Linked DNA regions of Arabidopsis thaliana. The protein of the gene in region 3 interacts with the protein of the main gene of each other region in a pairwise test. Each region holds a gene or a part of one and is shown on either strand. Other genes may lie near its edges.

Region 1 (6,673 bases), 4.1 Mb from region 3:
TAACCCTACACATTTCATTTCTTTTGATCATAAACTCTTTGTGTACTCATTGCCTACATTTATGCTATTATCATTGCTTTCTATAGGCTTGGACTATATTATTTGCATATTGCCATTAATATATTGTAAAATCAAACATCTCGCATAATACCATGAAAAAGTTTTGTATGCATACTATACGTTGTTTATGTATGAATTCATGCTATAAAGTCAAAATGCAAATTCATATTTTCACCAAATGTAGTAGTAGTAGTAACGTTTTCACACGATTATATTAATTTCAGTTTTAAGTTCATTTTATAGTATTACTTATATTTATTTATATAATTTCATTAGTAATAGGAATAAATACTAAAATATATATCTCCCCTATTCTATCATCGTTTTCATGAACCGTTGACCTTCTTGAAACTACAACTAGGTATATAATTGTTGTGTGCAAATAACCAAAGTGGGTTACTGAGAGACTTGCGAAAGTATAAAACCAATAATTTGCTCCAGTGGTGGTAAGAAATGCAAAAACAAAAACACTATTTATTAAAAACAAAAAGAACAATTCTTATTGGATCGTTAAAACTCGAAACTAGTTATGAACCAACCATAGCATGAAACGTTTTGTTTTTGGTACATTATGCTACAAAGTTTACCACCAAATAGAAAAAGTCTTCGTTACCATCGATTGATCTATAGATTTTGCTTTTGCATGACCTTTCCCATCAACTTGTGGCTATTTTGCCCTTAAGGATACACAAAATGTCTTTCTAATTAGTCCCATAGTACATCTATCCACTGTTGGAATCGAGATCCTATGTCCTCGTAACGATTGCGAATTATTATTTATGTCTCTACATTATGTGGGGCAACTTTGTTTTAAGTTTTGAAATGTCTTCAACGTTCCCTAAAAAATGTTTGCAAAACACAGCTAGTATATTTAGAAATTACAATAAGAGTGGTGGATACGGAACAAACACAAATCGACATTAATGTTTGTACGTTGACGATAAAAAGAAGAGTAATCGATAAAAAAAAACTATAGATAATCCCAATAGATGATGGTTTAGTGTTGTTTGAAAATACTCTCTCAAAATGAGATTTACAGCTCTCTTCCTACTAATTGACCTGTTTAGAGGAGACTAATTTACATGCTCTAGTTTCCGGCGCATAAAAAATGAAAGTTTGTGTTAATCAAAGAAAAAAAATATAACTAATTTTTATTTCGTTGATTCTAATGGACCTACATTCCGATCCTCTTAAGTGAAAAAGATGCTTTCGTACCCCATAAATAAAATAAAATTATATATTTGGCTTAGAGAAGTGATATCGACGAGAAAAAATTCTTCAAATAAATTTATCGACGGACCCATATTGTATATATAGAATGTAATGGAGAAGAACAATCATTTCCCCTAATACAAGGGAAGATTGTATACACATTTCAGGAGGAAGACTATCTAAGTTAGTGCACTTTTGTTAATTTTGGTTCAAATTTAGGTTTTAGATGTAACAAATTTGATTTTTCATTTTTGGTTCGGTTTGTTACCATCATCCAAATGAAATATTTTGGATACATATAGATATATAATCATTTTAGTTTAAACTTGGATTGGACTGAATTAGATAAATATAATCAATATCATCTAGTAGTAATAATGTGATATGTGGGTTAATTTTTCTACTAAACAAACACCACGAGTTGGGTTGATATTATGTATCCTCATTATGGAGTGAGGCTTAAACAGGAAATTATAAGTTGTTTTGTTCTTAAATGAGTGATTATGTATTATGTATGATGATGATGATGAGTAGGCCAATTTAGTGACTGACTACAACGTGTTCCTACAATATATTGGTATATATGCAGTGATCCTACTATTCGAATTTCGTTCTTGGAATGTAACTAATCGTAAACAAAATATCTATAAAAAAAAACAATATTTATATACTTTACCGTAGGGGTAGCTATGTATAACTCGTTTGAGATATTCTCTCGATATGTTACCTAAATCGATTTGATTCCAAACAAAAAATTCTGGCTAATTAACCTGACTAATCATGGATTGGAACAGATATACAATTCATATACAGAGCAGTACTATCGTGTCTTGTCTGGTTAATTATCCGGACCGGACTAAACACCCGTTTAATGTGAACATAACCAAAGCAATCAAGTATCTGAGCTTAATTAATTATTACTGTTGATTAAGTTAATGATTAATTAGGCAAAAAAGTAGATTTGTATGCTGCTCACATGGGTTTGCGTGAAATAATGCTTTTAACCATCTTTTTGTCTCTCCTATACAATTCGAGCTAAAAAGCTAAGTCGTGTCCTTTATTTTATTTTATTTTTCTTTACATTGTTCTTTTGCTGTTATGATTTATGAATGTTGCACGAGATGTTATCTATCTACTATTTTAAAACACAATTGTATATTTTTTTTCGTCAAGGACTTGAAGTTAAAACACAATTGCTTACGAAAATATCAGTAAATTTACTGTTTCAAGAAATGATTATGCCTTCCATTTTACAACAATTATCGTTGTGAAATTCTTAATACATTAAAAAATGTTATAACGCCATTTAGTTTGAAACGTAAATGTGTTAAAGAGATTGAAAAAAAAGAAAGAGTTTACTAATTATAAAATTCAATATAATAACAATTTTTTTGAAATTCAATATAATTAGTATTTTTTTTTTTGAATACCAAGAGGTTTTGGACTGAAACCCGTAATCCCTCCGTACCCGAAACTACAGCATATAATATTACTTTTGTTCTAAACGTCATTCGAACTGGCGATCTCTAAGTTTCGTCTAGGGTTTTTACTAATTGAATTAACAACACTTGGTTATAATTAGTAATTATTTGTCACTAGCTTTCTTCCTCTGTATTTATAATTGATAGCATATTAATCAGTAACCTATATATAAGTAAGTATATTTGAATTTTTGTTTTTAGTAGTAGTTCTATTTTTAATGAAAACATTTTTAAACCTAAATGAAAAAATAATTATCATTTTTGTTCAACTATCCAAATTCACCTTCGTATAATACATGTCGGATTCAATTTCGTGTAATATATGTCGTTTGAAGAATAACGGGTGAGAGTGAGATAGAAGCGACCTGAAAACGAAAGGCAACTCTTTTTATACCTAAAGATTCCTTTTTTCCTAGTCAGTCAAAAGAAGTCAACGGTTAAGTCAGTTGACTTCAGATGACGATTAATGACGTCAGCATCAGTCCTTCCTCTGTTAAATAGAAACCAAACCACTTCGAGTTTCACTCACTCACACACACACACATAAACAAACACACAAAGACACATAAACACCACAATAAACTAAAACCCACCATGTGTGGACACGTCAGCACTTCTATAACCTCCGGCGACAACTGTCCATGTTTTCTATACTCCGACGACATAGTGGCTCCTCCTCAGCTGCTTGATCATCATCATCATCAGTTCCCGCCTCCGCCTTTGGCGCTTCTTATGATGAGCCAAAACTCTCTATACGCGGCCGAGGCGGTTTCAGGGTTCGGTTACTTTGATTCCGGCATGAACGGTGGTGGTGGAAGCAGCAGCTGCGACTCGCCAAGCTCTATGGGGAGTGGCGGAGAGAGTCTTGTTATGCAGAGGAGTGTTAGTAGCCATAATGGCTTTTCCGGTAATTACACAGCGGCCCATGATTTCGTTAACGATGATGATGGGCCAGTGAGACGGGCCCTTAGCGCCGGAGATCTACCCGTAAGTAATATTATATACACACTTGCAGTTTCGAGATTTCAAACGTTAACTTTTATGTTTTCGTTTACGTATGAAATTTTTCACATTTTATAAAACGAAACATTATATTGTTGGTTTGTTTTATGGTTTTGCAAGAGTGTAAAATGAAAACACCAAAACACAAATAAATTATCTAAACATACTAAAATTTGGGGTTTTATTTGAAAATAATAATAATTCTATCATAACATAAGACGACACTGTTTTGGTATGTGTGTAGAGGAGTAGCAGAAGAGAGAGCAGTACGGTGTGGAGTGAGAGCAATGCAATAATAGAAGGAATGAGCAAAGCCTACAAGTATAGTCCTGAGGAGAAGAAAGAAAAGATCGAGAAATATCGTAGCAAACGAAACCTTAGGAATTTCAACAAGAGGATTAAGGTAATTTTATAAATGTTTTACAGTTGTTTCTTTGTTCTAAACTGTTTGTTAGCATAAATTCTTATATCTTATTTTAACATATAAGAATTTATCATTTGATTCATATTGTTCTTCATCACATAGAGTCCATGTACACCTAACCTATATTATATATTCAACATGTGTATATATGTGTCGCATGGAAAACTTTTGAGGACTTGACATGTACAGTAGTTGTATGGAACAGTGACATGCACCTTCACATATATTGATGCAACCATTTTCTAATCAAGCATACAATTTCCTATAAATTTCTTCATTAATCAACTAATAATGATTTCTGTATAATTTCATACACAAGAGCATATATAAATGTCTATTTTCTTAAAATCAAATGTATAAGATATCTTTTCTTAGTAATACTGTTTTTTTTTCACATTTAATACAAAACTAAATGGTTCGTTGACCAAAAAAAAAAAAAAAAACAGGCTCAATGTATCATATCAATCACTCTTATCACTAAAAAGTAACATTGAATTTTTCTTTTCAATCTTATCTTCAAACATAAATAGAATTTCATCTGATATATATGAGTATGTGAACGAGAATTAATGTTCTGTCACATCATATTTGGGTCTAAGGAATCCTTTGAGATAGACACATCAAGCTCCAAGGTTGCTACAAGTTTTTTTCTCCATTAGTTTTTTCTTACAAGAAGGTCCACAAATATATTTCATTGCTAATTAAAGATCGGATTGGAGTATTCATGTACTAACATATTCAAACCGTATCTCAATGAGATATTTCTGCTCGCGTTATAATTTTTTGACCGACAAGTTTTGACTTGTGAATGATCTAAAAACTATCACAATACTTTGGGACAGGTTTAATAATAATCTTTTATCTTTCTATTAGTACGAATGCAGGAAGACATTAGCGGACAGTAGGCCAAGAATAAGAGGGAGATTTGCAAGAAATGATGAGATCTCACAACAAGAACAAGTTGATGTTATGGAAGCCGTGGTAGGAGATGTCGACACGTGGGCATCTTTTCTTGATTCTTTCTCTGCTAATCACTTCCTCAACTAATTTAATCTCTTCTATGTTTGTTTTTCTTATATATGTTTATATATGGCACTTTAATTTGTTTTGGTTTAAAAGATTTCCCCATGTTGCTAAACTCATGTGTAGGTTTTGTGTTATCTTTGTATATAAGAATAACATATCTTGTATTTTTGATCTGAGATATTTGCAAACTAATCCTTTTTCACTGGCCATACAATTCTGCATGAGTGGTATATGCCACTTTGTCAATTGACGATTGCAATTGTCTTAGCATGGCACTGAGTTCTATAAGTGAGATAAATGGGGTTTTAGATAGGTTAAAGGCAAAACAAAACGATATTCACCTATTGAGAACAAAGTGGATTTGAGATAAAACGTCGTCGCCGTATTAGATCCGTCATTTAAATTCGGTAGTCCATAAGTGAGTTGCAAACGATATACATAAAACAATTAAAAATATCGAACTCCAACTAAAACAAATTGATTACACATCGTTAATGTATATGGACCCTTAAATAGTTAATGTATAGTTTAGTATGTTCCTTAATGGTCTGATTTTTCTTTTACCAACTTGATTTACAAAAGTATTTAGAAAGTACAAAGATGATAACTTTTAGCATTGAAAAACATATAATGAACACATGGCCATGTTACTTTGATGATTTCATAATACTCTCACGTTGATTACACATCGTGCTAAGTACTAGCAATCTCCAAAGGTAAACATATATTATATACCTTAAGAATTCTTAAGATATCAAAGAAGCTTCCACTCAAATAAACTAACTTAAAGTAATCAACCCATACATTCATTCTCATAAGTCAGTATATAAAAAAAGCTAGAGGAAAACATACTAGCAATTATTTTTGCCAAAAAAAAAAGCTATGGAAAAGTTTCTCAGCACTTTTGATATTTTGCAAGAAAAAATGTTACTTTGATTGTAAGACTATATTATTTTCCAACAGTAACAAAAATCATTTATTTTTATTTAAAAGTGAAAATAATTTGAATGTTAGGCATCTTTAGTAATAAGAGAATAATTTTTCTCACAAGTAGGTAATTAGTAATAATGTGAAGAATAATGCTTCTCAATTAGATTATAAATAAAGTAGTTTTGAAAAAGGAAAGAGAGCAGTCTTTCTTCTTTAGCAATGGCTATGGAGGGAGATGTAGGCCCTCCGGCGACATTGTCCCCGACTTTTGTCGGCCGGCGGTAGATTTACCGACTCCTCCACTCTTAAATCTTTTTAACTTTTTTTTTTCCTTTTTAATATTTTAACTAAAAGCCTTTTTCTTGAACACGAGTACACAAAGAATCAACTCTAGAGAATAAATTAGATTCTTTCTTTCCCCCATTTTATAATCGGTTCAAAAATGAAACCACGAGACTTGCGTGGGTATAAATTAATGGACAAAACTTGTACTTATAAGAATGATCAAGCTCTTCAATGTTTTCTTTTTTTACTGATC
Region 2 (6,115 bases), about 11 Mb from region 3:
TAGGAAGATCCATATTGCTACGTATGTGTAGGAGATGATTATGTTCTTAATCACGCCTTCGCTTAGTGATCCACCTTTACCCATATTCGTGATGTTTTTGCCTCTCTTACGACGGTGGTTCTGCGGCGGAGACGGTGGTGTATTCTCCGAAGTTTGTGAATTTTGGTGAGATCCTGAAAAAACGTTTTCAGAGTTTACTAAAAGAGAGAGACTCACACGTAACGGAAGTGATTCACCAATTTATAATTGTTTTCGGTTATAAATAAAATAAAATAAAAAGAATAATAGCGAAATTAATTAAATTTTAAAACGACCAAACCAGTCAAATTCTGAACTAACAAAATGTAATTTAACTCTAAACCAGCCAATATAACTAGTTAAAACTTTATACCTGGTGTTTGTGTCCGTTTTAAGATTTTAAATCATTTTTGAGAAACAATGTTTACATAAATGATATAGTGCGGTTGAATACTAATATTTTTATTCGATATAACATGAATATTTAATTAGTTACATATTTATGTATTTTTAAAACTTATTAGACCTCTCATATAAAATATCTAGAAGACATATATAACAGTATTTATATTTTAAGTATCCAAAAAACAAAAATATTGCCGGTAATCTATATATAATCGTCTCAGTCAAAATAGAATAAAAATAATAAAATAACCCTACCGCATCAAAATATCCAAAATATCAAAATTCGTCAACTTAACCTATTAAATATTTATGTCAAAATAGATGCTCTCCTTATATCTAAACAAGATGTTTAAACATCGACACAAAATATCCAAAATCCAAAGTGTGTCCATGATATGATATCATATATAAACTTGAGATGCTATCTAGACTTGGAAGAGGTTCACTTGATAAAATGTTTCAACTTGAGCTAGTTGATTAATTTTAGCCCGCTTAGATTTATTTACTTGAATCTCTTTTGTTATGTAAGATAATTTACTTAAACTTGTATGTGAAACTAAGTCAAAATCGCCTTTATCACATGCCTAAGTAAAAAATAATCAAATAAAATTGAATATCAAAAATCAGTATTTTAAAATAAAATTCTATAAGAATTGCTCATAAAGTTTATCATGATCGGGACAAGACGGAATAGGACAGGACATGAACTTTACCCAAACCAGGTAAACATGTTAAAATAGTAAAACCTTTCTTAATCTAGGTAGGACTAACATTCGAATCACAAGAATCTGATTCGCAGATGTGTTTAACAAAAGTGGCAAATCTCTTTCACATTTAATGTTCATTATTCTTTATTAAACTAATTAATTATCATCCTACCACTTGTACCTTCATAAGTATCATAATGACTACTATACTAATCTCCTGTAATTATATCATGTCCACAAATTCAATAGAAAATATCAACTACTCTTTAAACAGTAGGCCATATCAGTTTACAAGTCTTAGAATCACAACACATATACTATATTTGAGGAAAAATGTTTACGTATATATACGTACTCATTTCTAGAGCTATCATATATTCATATATATGTTCGAAAATTATATTAATTATTAGCTACACGTAAATTACTTACCCTCGATTATTATTAACCCTCAACTATATTATTATCTTGATCATATAATTCAATGATTCTCCTTTAGACCTGTGCAATGGATCCAGATCCAGGACAGGTCCAGTTAAGCAACTCCTCGATCATCTGCATCGCCATTTGATCATCTTCCTGAACGTCTTCGTTTCGTACCTTCATCTTATTAGTCTCAATATCACCACCGGGACGTGCGTTAACTTTGTCACCTAGTTCAACAAGCTTGACCCAGTTTGGACTCGTTTTTGACCCGGCGCGTTTCTGCCAGACGCCGATGTGTGAGCTGTCGTTGTCGAGGCGGAGACACGTCAGATACGGTGTCTGGTCTTTACAGTTCTTCCTTAGCTTAGCGTTCAATAGTTCCGATAATGATTTGGGAGACCTTAACGCAGAGTTAATCTCCAAGGAATTTGAACCGTTCGATTTGATGACGGGGAAGTTAGTCTTCGCGCTCTGGCCGTTCATTAGAACCGCGGCTTGGTCGTAGGCTCTAGCCGCTGTTTCCGCCGTGTCGAATGTTCCTAGCCACACTCTTCTCTTCCTGATAGCTCACATAAGTTACGTAAGCAAAAAACACACATTTTATTCAAACTTCAAAGTACTAAAACAAACACACAACAAATTTGTTATAAATTGTTACTGATAATAAATTGGGTCGTTTTCTTTTTGAGGAAAGTTTATAGTGAGTAGTGTTCGTTCCTTCCCAATTCTTTGCTATATGATTTTCTATAATCCAACTAAGACATAGAAAATACATCAGTATCAATTATATGACAAAGCATTTAAATTTATGTACACTCAAAATTTCAAAATACAACACAAAAAGTACAAATACTCAACATATGTATATGTTAATAAACGTGGGTTTTTTAATTGGAAAAAAATAAGGAAAACGACTTAAACAAAAATGCATGATATTATAAGAGCTTTGCATGAATCTTCGAAAATATAATCAATGATCAGAAAACTGCCCTACACGTACACCAAAAATGTAAACTTAACTCATAGCATGGACTTGCATAAACAGATTTATACTGTTGTCTCTATTAATAGATAGAGAGGGAGAGAGAACTGACAAGAGAGGATGACGAATCTCAGAAACCCAAGAACCCCACTGACGCTGGCGGACACCTCGGAACTTCTTCGAATGTACCATTCTTCTGTTTTAAATTAGGGTTCTTAATTTCTCTGTGTGTTTCTGACACGAACTAAGAATAGGAGAGAAAGTGAGAGTGGGAGAGAGATTCCTCGTCTCTGATCTTTCTATCTCCAACTACTCACTTAACTCTCTGCTTTTCCCACGTCCTCTCTACTGATATTTATTGTATGTCCCCTATCTCTTCCGTGTCATGGGGTTATTGGATTATATATAGCGTTAGGAAAACTACATGACAAGATAGTCCAAGTACAAATACTAGTTTTGCTACATATAACTAATCCTTTTCCATTTGATCATACTTGTCATTCTACAATGTTAATAATTACCCTACAACGTACAAATACTTGATGTCAGTTCATACCATGCATACAATGGTACCAAGTGATCATATTTCTTATTGCCTATCAATTCGTCTCTTTTCTTCATTAATTATGTGAATATTTGATAAGAAGAAATGTTATTGTTTAAAAATAGATCACGTTTTACTGTTTTAAGTGTTTATCGCTAATGCAAACTATCGAATGGACACTGACCCACAACCAATTACGAAGCCTAGTGGATTTTGGTAACCAAATGCATAAAATCGTACTAAGGTAACTATAATGATGTCCCATGTGTATTCAATTATTCATATACAGTTAAACCTCTATAAATTAATACTCGATAAATTAATAACCTCTATAAATTAATAAATTCTTCCAGTCCCGAGTTGGGATCAGTGTAAAAAGTGACACAAATCGATAAATTAATAAGATAATAACTTTTTAAAAAATCTTATGTAAATATATGGTCCCATCAATATCATAAATTAATAATTTTATAAATATATCAACTATATATACATTATATGTAAGAAATTATTTTGAAATATAATTCTAATATTTTTTTGCTTAAAATTTGTATTTATTCTTATTTAAATTTAGTTATAGTATTTTACTTTATCAAAAACTTTTGGTGTTGTTTTCTAAACATGATATTATTATTTACTTGTAATTGATTTTTGAAAGATATTTTCTATAATGAAAAAAATTTTATAGAAATTTTTGAAAAGTTACTAAATTACGAAAATCTCTCTATAAATTAATAAATATTAATTTATCGATAAATTAAAATCTTTCTAAATTAATAAAATTTTGCAGTCCCAACATTATTAATTTATAGAGGTTTTACTGTAGATGTCTTTCTATTTATAAACCTGTATTAACTCATACTGATTTTTTGTAAAGATTACACTTAATTAGAAGACTGATCACATCCCACACCTCTTGCCGTCGAATTTATTCCGAGTTACATAGCAATTCAAATTAAATGCTATCAAATTTTACTAACAGATAACTTAAACAGTGACGTGAAAACGTCGTCAAAACATATTTCATTCATCTATTTAATTTTCATTGTTTGATTTCTTATAGATCTATTAATTCGACACAAAACAGAGACCTCGATTTCATCTTTTTCGATCATCTACGTTTATGTTACTACCGGTTAAAATTTCTGAGAATAATTAAAATTATAGAAGTGTTTTTACTGATCAATTAATGAAAAGGCTAGAGAATTGTCGGTGCGTCGCGTGGTAAAGTCCACGGATATTTGGAGTAGTTGTTGTCCATTAAATGTTATGAACCTAAAGGAGACAAGAACGAGTTAAACCTTAAGCTTGAATAAATGAATTCACCAACATCTGCTAAACGTACAAAATTAAATTTATAAGTTGAAATGTATATAAGGATGTGACAGCCACATGAATATATAATGGCTCTGATGAATGCAAATGGTACAAGACGATGCAGGATAGGTGCGGTGGTAATCCTTTTGTTTTTCAATATTTAGATGTTTAACAAAGATCAGTTTTTAATTAATGTGTGGTTGACAAAAAAACAAAGATCAGTTTTGAGTCATTTAAAGTTTCTATAACAATTCTAAATTTCATTATATTTTTTAGAGCTAAAATAATTCAATAAACGTTTAATTATATGAATAATAATAAAATATTGGTCTAGAAATTGGTAATTCTCACAAATAGCACATAAATAATTCAAGAATAATTATATGAATTATAATAATAAAAAATTGGTCTAGAAATATGCAATTCTCATAAATAGCATGAAAGTAAGTTTGTTACTAAATTTAACACACAATCTCTAAAACTCTAAAAAAACACAAATTCATAGTAAAAAACTAATATAAAGTTATTAACATTCGATTGACGTTTCACACGATTGTTTGTAAATTAATCGTGATTTCAAATTGTAATTAATTTTGTTAATTTATATAATTATAAAATAGTTACTGAGTAAATTCACTAAAGCTAATTTTACAAATTTGTGGACAATGTTATTTTAATTGTCCATTAAACTTGTTTGAGTGCTATTTTAGGATATTTCTCTATGATATATCGCTCCGTTTATTTACGACAAATATACGTATAATTCATCTTTAGTATGATATTGTGAAAGAAATAATTACTTGTTAATGGAAAGCCAAGTTTTCAACAAATTTTGTCTTTATAGATCTTTGTTTAAATGGGTATCAACTAGGCTTTTCACTCAAGACAGGAAAAGGTTGGCATAAGAGAGAAAACCCAGTTTGTATTGTTTTAGAGAATCTGGTATTGCTTAGGTCGAGTTTCTTGAACAAGAAACAAAAGGTTTTTCATATTTGTTTATTGTGAAGTTTATTTGGGCCCAATGGAATGTAATTACCACTGGAACATCACTTGGTAACCAAAACTAAATAAATATACAATGGCGCATGAACACTTGCTTTTATTAATGAGTCTACAAAAATCTATAACATTTTTTTACTGTGAAGGACAAATCTCAATGAGTCAAAATTGTGTTTTGGTTGATACAATTTTCCATGAGATGGCACTTCTTTGGAAGCACCTGACACTAACAACAGTTACAGGTAAAAGATAGACAGACAACTTACAAGGAAAACTATTCCATAACTGTAGAGACCAAAACTGATGTCTGAAACTAGGATTGATGATCACCTGATACAAACTGCTGAAGCCAGAGAGTTGTGCTGACTTGGTCATATCAGGAGAATCAGAAAATCTGCGGTTTCATCTTGAGAAGAGTGTGTTCACACGTTCAGGAGATGTTAATGTTGCCACTCTTTTAAACTGTCAAATATTCATATAGAGTGAGAGAGACCAAATTCAGATTCAGTGTCCACTTTCTTAGATTGAATTTATTATTATACCTTTTGTTGGTTGTATTTGGTGTGTATAGCGATAAGAGTGCTTCCACTGGTGTTGAGCTGCAACTCCTCCATTGCAAGTACCGTGTTTTTTAGAGCGGATGTTTCATATCTTGTATAGTGTTGTAGAGTTTGGTTCTGTAAGCAATAACATTCACATCACCAAAAATTGTTTCAA
Region 3 (5,744 bases):
TTGCTGAAACTTGGGATCGTGTCAAGGTATAGACTTTTTACATTACCATATGCATTTTTCATTTCTTTTGTTAGAGGTTTTAGATTGACTTTGACAAGTAGAATGATTGTTTCTCAAATCTGTTCCAAAGGTAGAGAGAGTGATATCTCAAAATCGATTTTGATATAATACTCTTCTTCTACATTACTAGATGGTTTCACTTTCTTTGTTAGAGGTTTTGGACCTGAAATTTTATAACTATAGGTAGAGAATGTTAAGGTTCATAGACACTGTCTCAAAACCAATTGGTGATGTGTTAAGTAACGATAACTCTTAGAGAAGTGGAATCGTTGTTGGTTAGCTTTCAAACAGAGATTATGCAAGTATCATCACCATTGATAGTCAGCACAAAACTGTAGTTTTCAATTTGATAATAATTGGTATAAATGTTTTTGAACAGGAAGTGGGATTAAGAGGGCTGACGAGCAAGCGTCACATGAAGATAATACTAAGGTGGATGAGAGAGAGACAGAAGCTGAAGCTGATATGTAACCATGTTGGTCCTCACAAGCAATTCTTGTACACTACTTGGTTCACTAAACACAACCCTTCTTCTAAATTCCCCAAGTTACCACCGGAAAATCTCACAGGAAAATCCTCTGGCCACCCTCCTAAACTTCCCTGAGCCGACTCTGTTAAGTTTTAAGGCTTTGTTTCTTGAATCTTCCTCTTACAGTTATTAATGATCACCTTAGTAAAATCAATAGCACATATATGTAGCCTGCATCTGAAGATTCCTTGTCTAGATTCTCGTGACAATTGAATATGAAAAGACATGAGATGAAAGTTGATGTTGTTACAGTTGAAGAATGTGTAAATGATACAACTGCATACCAGTTGGTTAACTTTATGTATATAATCGAAATTTCACCTGATTCTGTTGTCATATTAAAAAGACATGATGATACACTCCTGGAAGTGGATCTATACTCCAAGGACTCACTTTGTTGGTTTTGAATTGGAAATGATGTAGTTGATAGTGAATAATGGATTGATCTTAATCAAAGCGGTGGAAAGACGATGAATGGGGATGGCGACGAGATCGAGTGGATGCAGCGGAATGAAAGGGGAACGAATTGTACTTCCAAGAGTGATGAAAGACTCTTAGACTACGAGCTTGGATCCAACTTAGATATTACACACTAAGAAGAAAACAAGTTGAAAAGATACTACACACTTTTCAGATCAAACAAGTGAAAGAGAAAGTTTTTGATTAAAATGTTTGATGATTACAAATGAGAACTACAATGAGTTTATATAGGAGAGGAGGAAGAAGGGGAAGAGGTGAGAGAAGAAAGACATGCAAGAGCATGCACAAGTACACACTCATGCAAAGAGTTTTGGAAATAACAAAAACAATAAATGCAAAGTTTGAAGAGAAAATAGAAAATGGGCCACGGCATTGTGAGTGGGCCTTGGACCACGAATTGAGCTGATAAAGGGAGGCTTGAAAGTGTTCCTTAGGCCTCATTAAAAACCTTGTCAAGAAAACCCATTGGGACAAAACTTGATAAGGGAAAAAGAATGCATAAGCAACACTTAACCCTTTACCGAGCCTCTTGAGCCGTGATCACTATGAAGGAGGATTGAGTCACGTCTTCTTGATTCTTCTTTAGCTCCTTGAGTAGTCCATTGATAGCTTGGTTGAACTTCTTAGATTTTGATCTTGTTAGAGGACCCGCCAGAACGATTAATGCTTCCTCCGGTACAAGCTGCTTCTCGTCTTTTTGTGGTTCAAGTGGTTTGGTTGCCTTGGTCATGTTCTCATCGCATGAGTTTGGACTTGAAACTACAAATACAAAACATAGAAACAGAAGACAAATATTATCATTAAACCAAACTGATGAAGCAGAGAACCAGTTTGATTTCGATCAATTTCCCTCATACATATATGTATGGAAAACTGATCGAGGTCAAACCAGACCCTTTCATTCATTACATTGCTAAAACATATCTGTAACCAAAATTAGCAGAATCAATACATACATATAATAAAGAAGTAACTAGAAGTTAGTTTGAAAACTGCAGAGAAATTATCTTCAAAGTGCTGAAATAGTGTTTGCAAAGTCTTTGAAACAATCAGAGAATCGTAGATTATCTCCATCCAAACATCTCTGAAAATAAGAAAACGGAGTTAGATCCACCGAGACTTGATCATCAACAACAGCGTTCAAAATACTTGCACTAATCTCCTGATGAGTAGTGTTGTCCGAAAACCAATCATTTAGCGCGCTCTCAAAAGGCGTGTCGAAGCCAATGTCTTGATCGTAATCCAGGTTCATTTCAGGTAAAGCAGCGTTGTTATCCATAACACAAAAAGTTTCACAAATCGAGCGAATCTGATCTTGTTCTTCAGTGATCTCATTGAAATTTTCAGGTGAATTATCAGGGACGCAACAAATTGCAGAAGTACTCGACTGAATATTTAGGGTTTGATTTGGCTCTTGAGTAATCTCGTTGAGATTTTCTGGGATGCAACAAATTGGAGAAGCGGACTGAAGAATTAGGGTTTGATCATGAGTTTCGTGGTCTGAAACAAAATCGCACTTGTCGTTGTTCTTCAGGTCCTCGCGATCATTAACGAAAGCTTGATTACAGGCTAAAGCTTCATCCGCACGCAATTCCTTGAGATTCCTCAACAGCGTCCGCATAGAGTCGATCGCTTCACTAATCTCTTGAGGATTCTCCGATCTGGCAAGGCTCTCGTCGTTCCACCAAAAACCTAACCCTAGATTATTGCGAGTCAAACAGATACCAACGTCCTCCCTCGTCTCTTTGTTATCCTTCGGAACAGGACGTTGTCCGGAGAGAAAAGCAGAGACAACGGCATCAACAGAGGAGTGACCGAAAGAGTAGAAGGATACGTTGGATTCAGAAGAAGGAGGAGTCGCTAAGATAGCGATCTGTGCGTCTGAGAGAAGACAAAGCTGAGAGGCTTTGCTATAGAGACCTTCACGGCGTTTGGTGCAGGTAACCCTAAGGGAATCTCTCTTCTGTATCGTCTCAATCGCAATCTTCCTCTTCGTGCCACCTTTTTTCACCATTCTGATTGATTTTTCTCAATTTTGTTGAGTGTGGAGAAAGATAATTGAAAAGTGAAGGCTTCTTCTATCTCTCAGTCTCATATATATAAGGGAAATATCGAAACCCCATATCAATATCATCCACCTAAACCGATTAAACCACATGGACCGTAATCTTGTATGGGCTAAGCCCAACTATCCACCAGAATCCTTTTTTAGTGCAGTCTTATTTATTTTTATTTTGATAATTTTTAGTTATTGTATTATGATTCAGATTTATTTGGAGATATTTTTATTTTTCAAAAAATATTATTTTGCTAGATTCTACAAAAAAAATTTTGTCAGATTATTATGAGAGAGACAAACAAATATATAGCTGGTTCTTCACATTATCGTGTTCATTCTTTCTGGTTCTTCACTCCTTAAAATGTGGCTATGGAGTTGACAAAGGTGACCTGGTAGCAGAAGAAAACTTTGTTAAAGACCTACTGAAAAACAATAGTCCATCAAATAAAACTAACAAAAAAGCCTATCAGCTATCCTAAACACACAAAACTCAAAATATCAATACCAAGAAGAAACAATTGTAATTGGTGACTATAGAACAAACCTTGAGAGAGGGTCATCAACATATAATCACTGACTGATTTCATTGGAGCTTAACCTTGACAGTGTTTCAAAAACACCTAGCAATATCTATCACTCAGTTTACTACCACTGTCTAGAGCAACCAAATCGTCCAGACTTTCTATAAAAACGTTGTTTCTTAGTATTCATCAATTTTTTGTCAAAAATATTTGCAATTATACTGTTTTTGTCTTGATCATCTATTGTAGACTGGATATTTGCACATGTAATGTCAACAATTTCATCTGTTGTTGTACCATTAGCAGAAAAAGAAATGATTCTCAAATTTGGGGTTGGTCAGTCAACAGAAGATGATTCCAAAGCATCAAACGTTTTTGACCTCTCCTCCAATTTCTCTTTACATACAATTTCAAAAAGAAAAAGATTATCTCCAACTAAACCCTAAACCTAAAATTTTCTAACTGAAGGAAAAAAAATCCCCTAAAATTCTCTTCTGCCATTAGAACCAGAGTTTTTAAAGAATTGCAGGAAACCTAACTAAATAATTTGGAAACATGAGAAAAAAAAACATCAGTTTATCTACATAGGCGCGATGATAAGCTACGAAGAAGGTAGCGTCCGGTCGAACCAGTTAGAGAGATTTGAGATTTTGGCTGCTACACTTTTATTTCGACCAAAGAAAGTCTCTGCATTGGACAACATAACTGATACGTCGTGTCGTAATGCTTCCACACTTCGGTAATAGTTGTTCTCAAGCCTTGATCTGATTACTTCAAGAGACAAAGGAACTGGGAACCTGCAGAATGAATCCATAGAACAAAACCATGTCAGCTTTGGCTCCACCAAAGACTCTTCCAGGGTTGTAGAAATTTACCTGTTGGAGTAGCTGGAATTTCCCACGGTCTGGTTCAGTTTTCGGAGGCCAAAAGAATCCTGAAACAAATTAGCCCACATTATATCAATATTGTTAGTTCTTGGGATAATGTTGTGTCTTAATCCACTAAGCTTTAGAATGTGATCTATAAACCAACTAAGCTAATGTAAACATGGGCCTAAGCTCTTTGGGTGAAGTCTGAATTTGGTGGGGAGGATAGGCTAGATTTAACACCATGAGATATTATATTCATTAGGATCACATACCTGGGTTCTCTTGTCTGAAGTCTCTAACTTTGTTAAGGCCGAGAGCAAACGGTTTCGTTGCTCATCATCAATGTGAGGCTGCTCCCACTTGGTATCTGCATCAAAAAGCTCCCAGGGACTGTGAAGATGTGTCTCGGCAGGGTCACTCTTGTACTTAACTGTGTACCTCTCCCACGGACTATCAGGAAAATCAGGTGATTTGGGTTTCACAGCTAGAATCCGTCCTTCCCACCAACTACCATCTTCTTCGCCTTCGTCTCTCCACCAAACTTTACACTTGTCCCTGCAAGTCCAGTTCCTCTGTATTGCTGCTTCATACCGACTTCTTTCCACAAGAAAATCTGGAAACGTCACCACTTCAGGCAACGTAAGTTTGAAAGCTTTGTTGAACACTTCGGAGTTTGGATCGATGACCTTAAGTATCATTTTGCAGCAGCTATCCCCAGAACCAGGCAGAGTTGCATATTCAAGACTTTCCACTTTACAAATTTCTACAGCCTTTATATTTCCTCCTTTTATTGATGTCCAAGGAGCCACTTCCCTCAGGGAGCTAAAGTTTAAGTATTCTTGATGCCCCTGAAAGATAAGAGTAACAGCCGCAGATAAGAGAACTGATACCAAAGGTCGACTAAACGAAACAACAGATAAGATTACCCTCAAAACTTACCTGTCGCAAATACGCAACTTCATCCCCCATTTGTGGAATATAACGAGAACCCTCTTCATGTATCGATAATGTCAACCAGGATACATTTTCTATTAACTGCTGAGGCTTCTTTGTTTCAATAGGTTTAGTTTCACTAAAGGGATAAGTAGACTTTCTATTTCTTGTGGATCTCAACCGAAGTGTTGCTCCAGAAGCGGATCTCAATTCTTCCTGAGAGTTTTGGTTTCCACGTGAATCACTTATTTTATCTTGGATGTGGGTCAAACTGCCTTCCGACTTCTCTAATC
Region 4 (4,884 bases), about 10 Mb from region 3:
TTCCAGATTTATATTTTCACAATATAATTAAATTATATTGATGGATTGTTTTATATATATAACTATAGCACTAAACAACTTTCAATAATTCTTCCGACGCAAAAGACTCTCTTGAGAAACCCTAATTTCAACTGAAAAAATGGCAGAAACCGCCGATACAATCAACACCACCGTCTCAACGCCGCAGCCACAATTAGAAAGCAGATCAGACGAGACAAGTTGCCTCCAAAAACACAGATCTGACGCAACATCAGAGGTGACGAAAGAAGAGAAATCTGGAGGAATCTTGTTCAGCGTTTGGCCACCGTGTCAGAAAAGTCGCGACTACGTGGTGAATAGTATGATCAAGACCTTATCCACAGACTCGATCCTCTCCTACAAATACGGAACGATTAAACCTGAGGAAGCCTCCGCCGTCGCGAAATCTATAGAGGAAAAGGCTTACGACATCGCATCAAGGTTCGTGTCGAGTGATGGGATTAAGAATCTTGAGGTCTATGGCATAGAGACTAGCGAGCGTATGATTGAATCTGCGGAGGTTCGATTCAAAGCCAATGGAAGTATGGAACTACTACTAAATCAAACAATAAAGATGATGCAGTTGCTGATTTAGAGGAGAAGCTTGAGCGTTAAGTTTCCTTATCTCTTTTATGATCTATCTCTAGGGTTTGCTTTTGCTAGATTTGAGATTCTCAAACCAGATTTGTTTCCTTCTTCTTAATATGAGTCGTTGATTGCTTTTGCATTATGTGGTTTAGTATCACACTTATTATTCCTATATAATGTTCAATTTCTTTCGTCCACCACCAGTAACTCTATGCAACTTCCCTCATTAGGTTATGAATAATCCTTGTAAACTTAAAATTATGATTAAGGCTAGGAGGCACGTTGATAGCTCAAACGGATTCGTTGAGGCTCGTGAATAAGCAAAGAGAAGCAGAGAAACAGAGTGAAAACAGAGCAAGGAGAAACAGATTGTTTAACCACTAGCTTGAGAGTCTAGTGAGTTGTATATAAATAGATAGAAGAGTATTGCACAAGTTATGTATTGATGTGTGTGTAACAAACGTATGGTTTGTTAGAGGAGAGTTAGGAGATCTCTTGAACAAATCTTCATTGTTAGGGCTTGGAAGAATTTTAATCTGAAACTCACAAGGCATTGTAATCTGGAAATTCACCATTGGCATCTAAATCCAACAGAGCCAGAGTGTTTCCACCTATTGGACACAGCACTACTTTTAACAACATCTTTTGACGGAAGCTGCCACTAGAGCATCTGACACATAAAACTGTGTCCTCTTGTCTTGCACTACAGGTTTTGAGTTAATCGCTTCTCTTTCAAAACAACTTTGCTCCACTGAATTCCATTCACAGAATTGAACCGAAAACTACAGTTTTTGAGTTCATCGCATCGATCGATTACTCAATTAGTTGCTTATTTGCGTCAATTATGGACATCTAACATTCAGCGTTTATTGTATACTGTATTAAAGCTCTTAATATAGACTCAGACAAAAATAGAATTGAGAATTGCATTCATAATACTTAGGAAAACCATACCAATCAGACAATTAAAACTCATAATCTAAACTAGAAACAGATCGAGTCAGGGACTTGATAGAAGCTTCCGTTGTCATGGTTATAAAGAAAGACAGAATATTTGCTCTGATGTTGACTCAATGATGAAGTCGATAGCTCTTGCTCTGTGTTTGACACACCATTCTCCAATGGTTCTGTCCATTGTTGATTATGGTGATTCTCAGGAGAAGACAATAGATTCGTTGTGGAAGAAACCGCACGGCTCTGACCTAACTTGGTCTGGTTTTTCTCGGGTTGGAGTAACAGAAGCTTATTTTGCAGTACCCGTAGACCACTTTCTAACGAATCCTCCATCTCTAAGACTTTCTCAGACAATTTATTGTCGTCGAGGATCTTCTTACGTAGAAACAGAGAAAGGTTTGTCCTTTTCTTGCATCGCTCTCTCTCGTGTAATCTGCTAAACCTCTCAGCCATGTCTCGAACTTTTGATTGATCTTCCGGCCATGTCTTGATGAGTTCTCCGTCACGACCATAAAGTATGACACAGACTTCGATGTCGCAGAGAGTCGAAAGCTCCAAGGCTTTCTTAAACATGGTCTGTTCTCTCATAGACAAATTCGTGGTCTTTTTTGCAGTGGAAGAAGAAGACAGAGACGATTTCTTGAAGCAAGTTTGGTTTCTCACAGACAATTTGGTTTTCTTCTTCGTCGACATTGAAGAATACATTGTGATGTTTTGTTTACACACAGAACAAAAAGACGCTTTTATTTGTTATCAAAGAAGAGAAAATAAACTCTGATCGAGAGAATTGGGATACCTAAGTGAACAGTTGGGAGACACTGTTTACTTGTGGGATGCGTCTAGTTGTTATACATCTAAGCTTGTGACCATTGATGATGAGAATGGACCTGTCACAAGTATTAACTGGACGCAAGATGGTCTTGATCTGGCAGTTGGTCTTGACAACAGTGAAGTCCAGGTTTGGGATTGTGTTTCCAATCGTCATGTGAGAACATTGAGAGGTGGTCACGAGTCAAGAGTAGGATCATTGGCATGGAACAATCACATTCTAACAACTGGAGGAATGGATGGAAAGATCGTCAACAATGATGTGAGGATCAGATCATCCATTATTGGAACTTACGTGGGTCACACTGAAGAGGTTTGTGGTCTTAAGTGGTCAGAATCTGGAAAAAAACTAGCAAGTGGTGGTAACGACAATGTAGTACACATATGGGATCGTTCTCTCGCTTCCTCAAACCCAACTAGGCAATGGCTGCATAGGTTTGAGGAACATACTGCTGCAGTGAGAGCTCTTGCGTGGTGCCCTTTCCAAGCAAGTTTGCTTGCAACTGGTGGTGGTGTTGGAGATGGGAAGATTAACTTCTGGAATACACACACTGGGGCTTGCTTGAATTCAGTAGAAACTGGCTCTCAAGTATGTTCATTGTTATGGAGCAAAAGTGAAAGAGAGTTGCTTAGCGCACATGGGTTTACGCAGAACCAGCTTACACTTTGGAAGTACCCATCTATGGTGAAAATGGCTGAACTCAATGGTCATACATCAAGAGTTCTTTTTATGGCACAGAGTCCGGATGGTTGTACCGTGGCTTCAGCAGCAGGTGACGAGACTCTCAGGCTTTGGAATGTTTTTGGAGAACCACCTAAGACCACCAAGAAAGCTGCTTCAAAAAAATATACGGAGCCATTTGCTCATGTGAATCATATTAGGTGAATCTACTGTGAAGACTAACAAGGAGAAAACCATTGATAGGTAAATAATGTATAGAGAAGCAATGTATTCATCTTTTTTCCTGATTCATTATTCATGAATTTTATATAGTTAATACAAAACCAATTATATATGTAAACTGTTGAGTCAAACACAACTAATATAGTATATATATTTCTTTATGAGATTTTTATGTAAAACTCTGTGATGTTGATGCTTATTGAAGCTTAATTTGTTGTTGAAAGAACAACTCTTTCCGATTCAAAGATTGAATTTTCCCCATCAAAGGCTCTGTTTTGGATTTCATTGCAGAACCAAAGTCCTTTTTTTTAACACATACGTGTTAAGGTTTAGGATCTCTTAACCTCACTTTACAATCTCAGAACGATAAAACAGAGATTAACATTGATCTCTCTTCAAGCACATCGCTTGGCTCAAGCACATCGCTCGACTATCACATTCAACATAAAGCATAAACCAGAAATGAGTGAGTAATGACTAATTTATACTCGATTCCCTTCAATAGCAAAGCCTCTGTTTCCACCCAAGTCTTTCTCTTCTTCTTTGCCTTTGTCCATGTCATCATTCAAGTCAACATTCTTCTTCTGACGTGGCATCATCCTTACATGGATCGTATCAATACGCTTGAGGTTGTGTGTTGGTGGTGTTTCTGGATTTGTGTGTTGCTTTTTATGGTAGGTCTTGGAATAAAGACACTTGCTTTTTGTTCAGTTCGAGTTTTGCGTTTTCTAGAATCCAAAACAATATTAGTTCATAGCTTGATGAAATAATCTAGGCTCCATTTGTCATCTCTCTTATAATTGGCAAACCAATGATTTATGAAACCGCAAAGTCGGGTTATCTAGAATCGGTTTCCATAAGCTATGTTTAATATTCTGGTTTTGTTGAATAAAACCGGTTATGACAAAACCGGTGAAGCAACTAAGAGCACGTACATAGAGTATCATTAGTAAATTTTTAATATTAATTAGATTATAACCCGCGGTACACCGTAGAGACAATTAATTTTTTTAAATTAGTATATATAAAAGTCTGCAAATTATATTTATCTATAAAAATAAATATTTTTTATAGTTTACAATTGTTATTAAGTAACATCTTTTCAAACTCGTTCCGTCAAACCCGTCCCGTTAAAAAAATCCACGGTACACCGCTAATTTAAATAAATATTTTACAGGATTGCAATTATATTTTAGTTTGTCAAACAAATTTTTGTTTTAAATAGTTGTCGAAATCTAGTTCAAATATTGGAGAAATAAGATTTAATGAACTGATAAGAAATGTATTTAGGTGAGTTTTGCTCATTTTAAGGGATTGCAATTGTATTTTGGTTTGTCAAATATTTTTTGTTTTAAATAGTTTCCAAAATCTAGTTCAAATTTTGGAGAAATCTGCGTGATATATGGGATTGAAATATGTTTGGAATATTTTTTGTTTGTTAATCAATTCATTGCCAAAAGAAAACCAATAATTAAAAGCAGTGACAGCCATTGTAAATAAGTTCCAACTCCAAGATTTATTTCACAAAATGGCTGCAAAAATGTATATGTAGATTTTAATGTTTATTTATTGTTTAAAATTTTGTATGATAC

Evidence for each region.
Region 1: the proteins of AT5G49420 (region 3) and AT5G59990 interact in a two-hybrid assay, tested with the Arabidopsis thaliana proteins (one large-scale study listed by BioGRID).
Region 2: the proteins of AT5G49420 (region 3) and SHN3 interact in a two-hybrid assay, tested with the Arabidopsis thaliana proteins (one large-scale study listed by BioGRID).
Region 4: the proteins of AT5G49420 (region 3) and AT5G27944 interact in a two-hybrid assay, tested with the Arabidopsis thaliana proteins (one large-scale study listed by BioGRID).

Annotation. Positions count from the first base shown.
Region 1 is NC_003076.8:24,149,759-24,156,431, reverse strand, and holds AT5G59990 (CCT motif family protein), read left to right. Parts: upstream 1-3,230; 5' UTR 3,231-3,347; coding exon 3,348-3,740; intron 3,741-3,999; coding exon 4,000-4,158; coding exon of another isoform or gene 4,159-4,170; exon of another isoform or gene 4,171-4,581; intron 4,582-5,052; coding exon 5,053-5,226; 3' UTR 5,227-5,498; downstream 5,499-6,673. Other genes in the region: GAF1 (Polymerase/histidinol phosphatase-like protein), read right to left, coding at 6,649-6,673.
Region 2 is NC_003076.8:8,817,252-8,823,366, reverse strand, and holds SHN3 (Integrase-type DNA-binding superfamily protein), read right to left. Parts: upstream 2,910-6,115; 5' UTR 2,731-2,909; coding exon 2,651-2,730; intron 2,116-2,650; coding exon 1,626-2,115; 3' UTR 1,305-1,625; downstream 1-1,304. Other genes in the region: AT5G25400 (Nucleotide-sugar transporter family protein), read right to left, coding at 1-84; CYCA2;1 (cyclin a2;1), read right to left, coding at 5,801-5,860, 5,941-6,075.
Region 3 is NC_003076.8:20,033,088-20,038,831, forward strand, and holds AT5G49420 (MADS-box transcription factor family protein), read right to left. Parts: upstream 3,119-5,744; 5' UTR 3,084-3,118; coding exon 2,079-3,083; 3' UTR 2,026-2,078; intron 1,829-2,025; 3' UTR 1,585-1,828; downstream 1-1,584. Other genes in the region: AT5G49410 (thiamine-phosphate synthase), read left to right, coding at 1-26, 440-664; AT5G49430 (WD40/YVTN repeat and Bromo-WDR9-I-like domain-containing protein), read right to left, coding at 4,251-4,446, 4,525-4,583, 4,791-5,366, 5,458-5,744.
Region 4 is NC_003076.8:9,974,328-9,979,211, forward strand, and holds AT5G27944 (MADS-box transcription factor family protein), read right to left. Parts: upstream 2,266-4,884; coding exon 1,591-2,265; downstream 1-1,590. Other genes in the region: WPP3 (WPP domain protein 3), read left to right, coding at 140-613; AT5G27945 (Transducin/WD40 repeat-like superfamily protein), read left to right, coding at 1,680-1,956, 2,175-2,271, 2,362-3,274.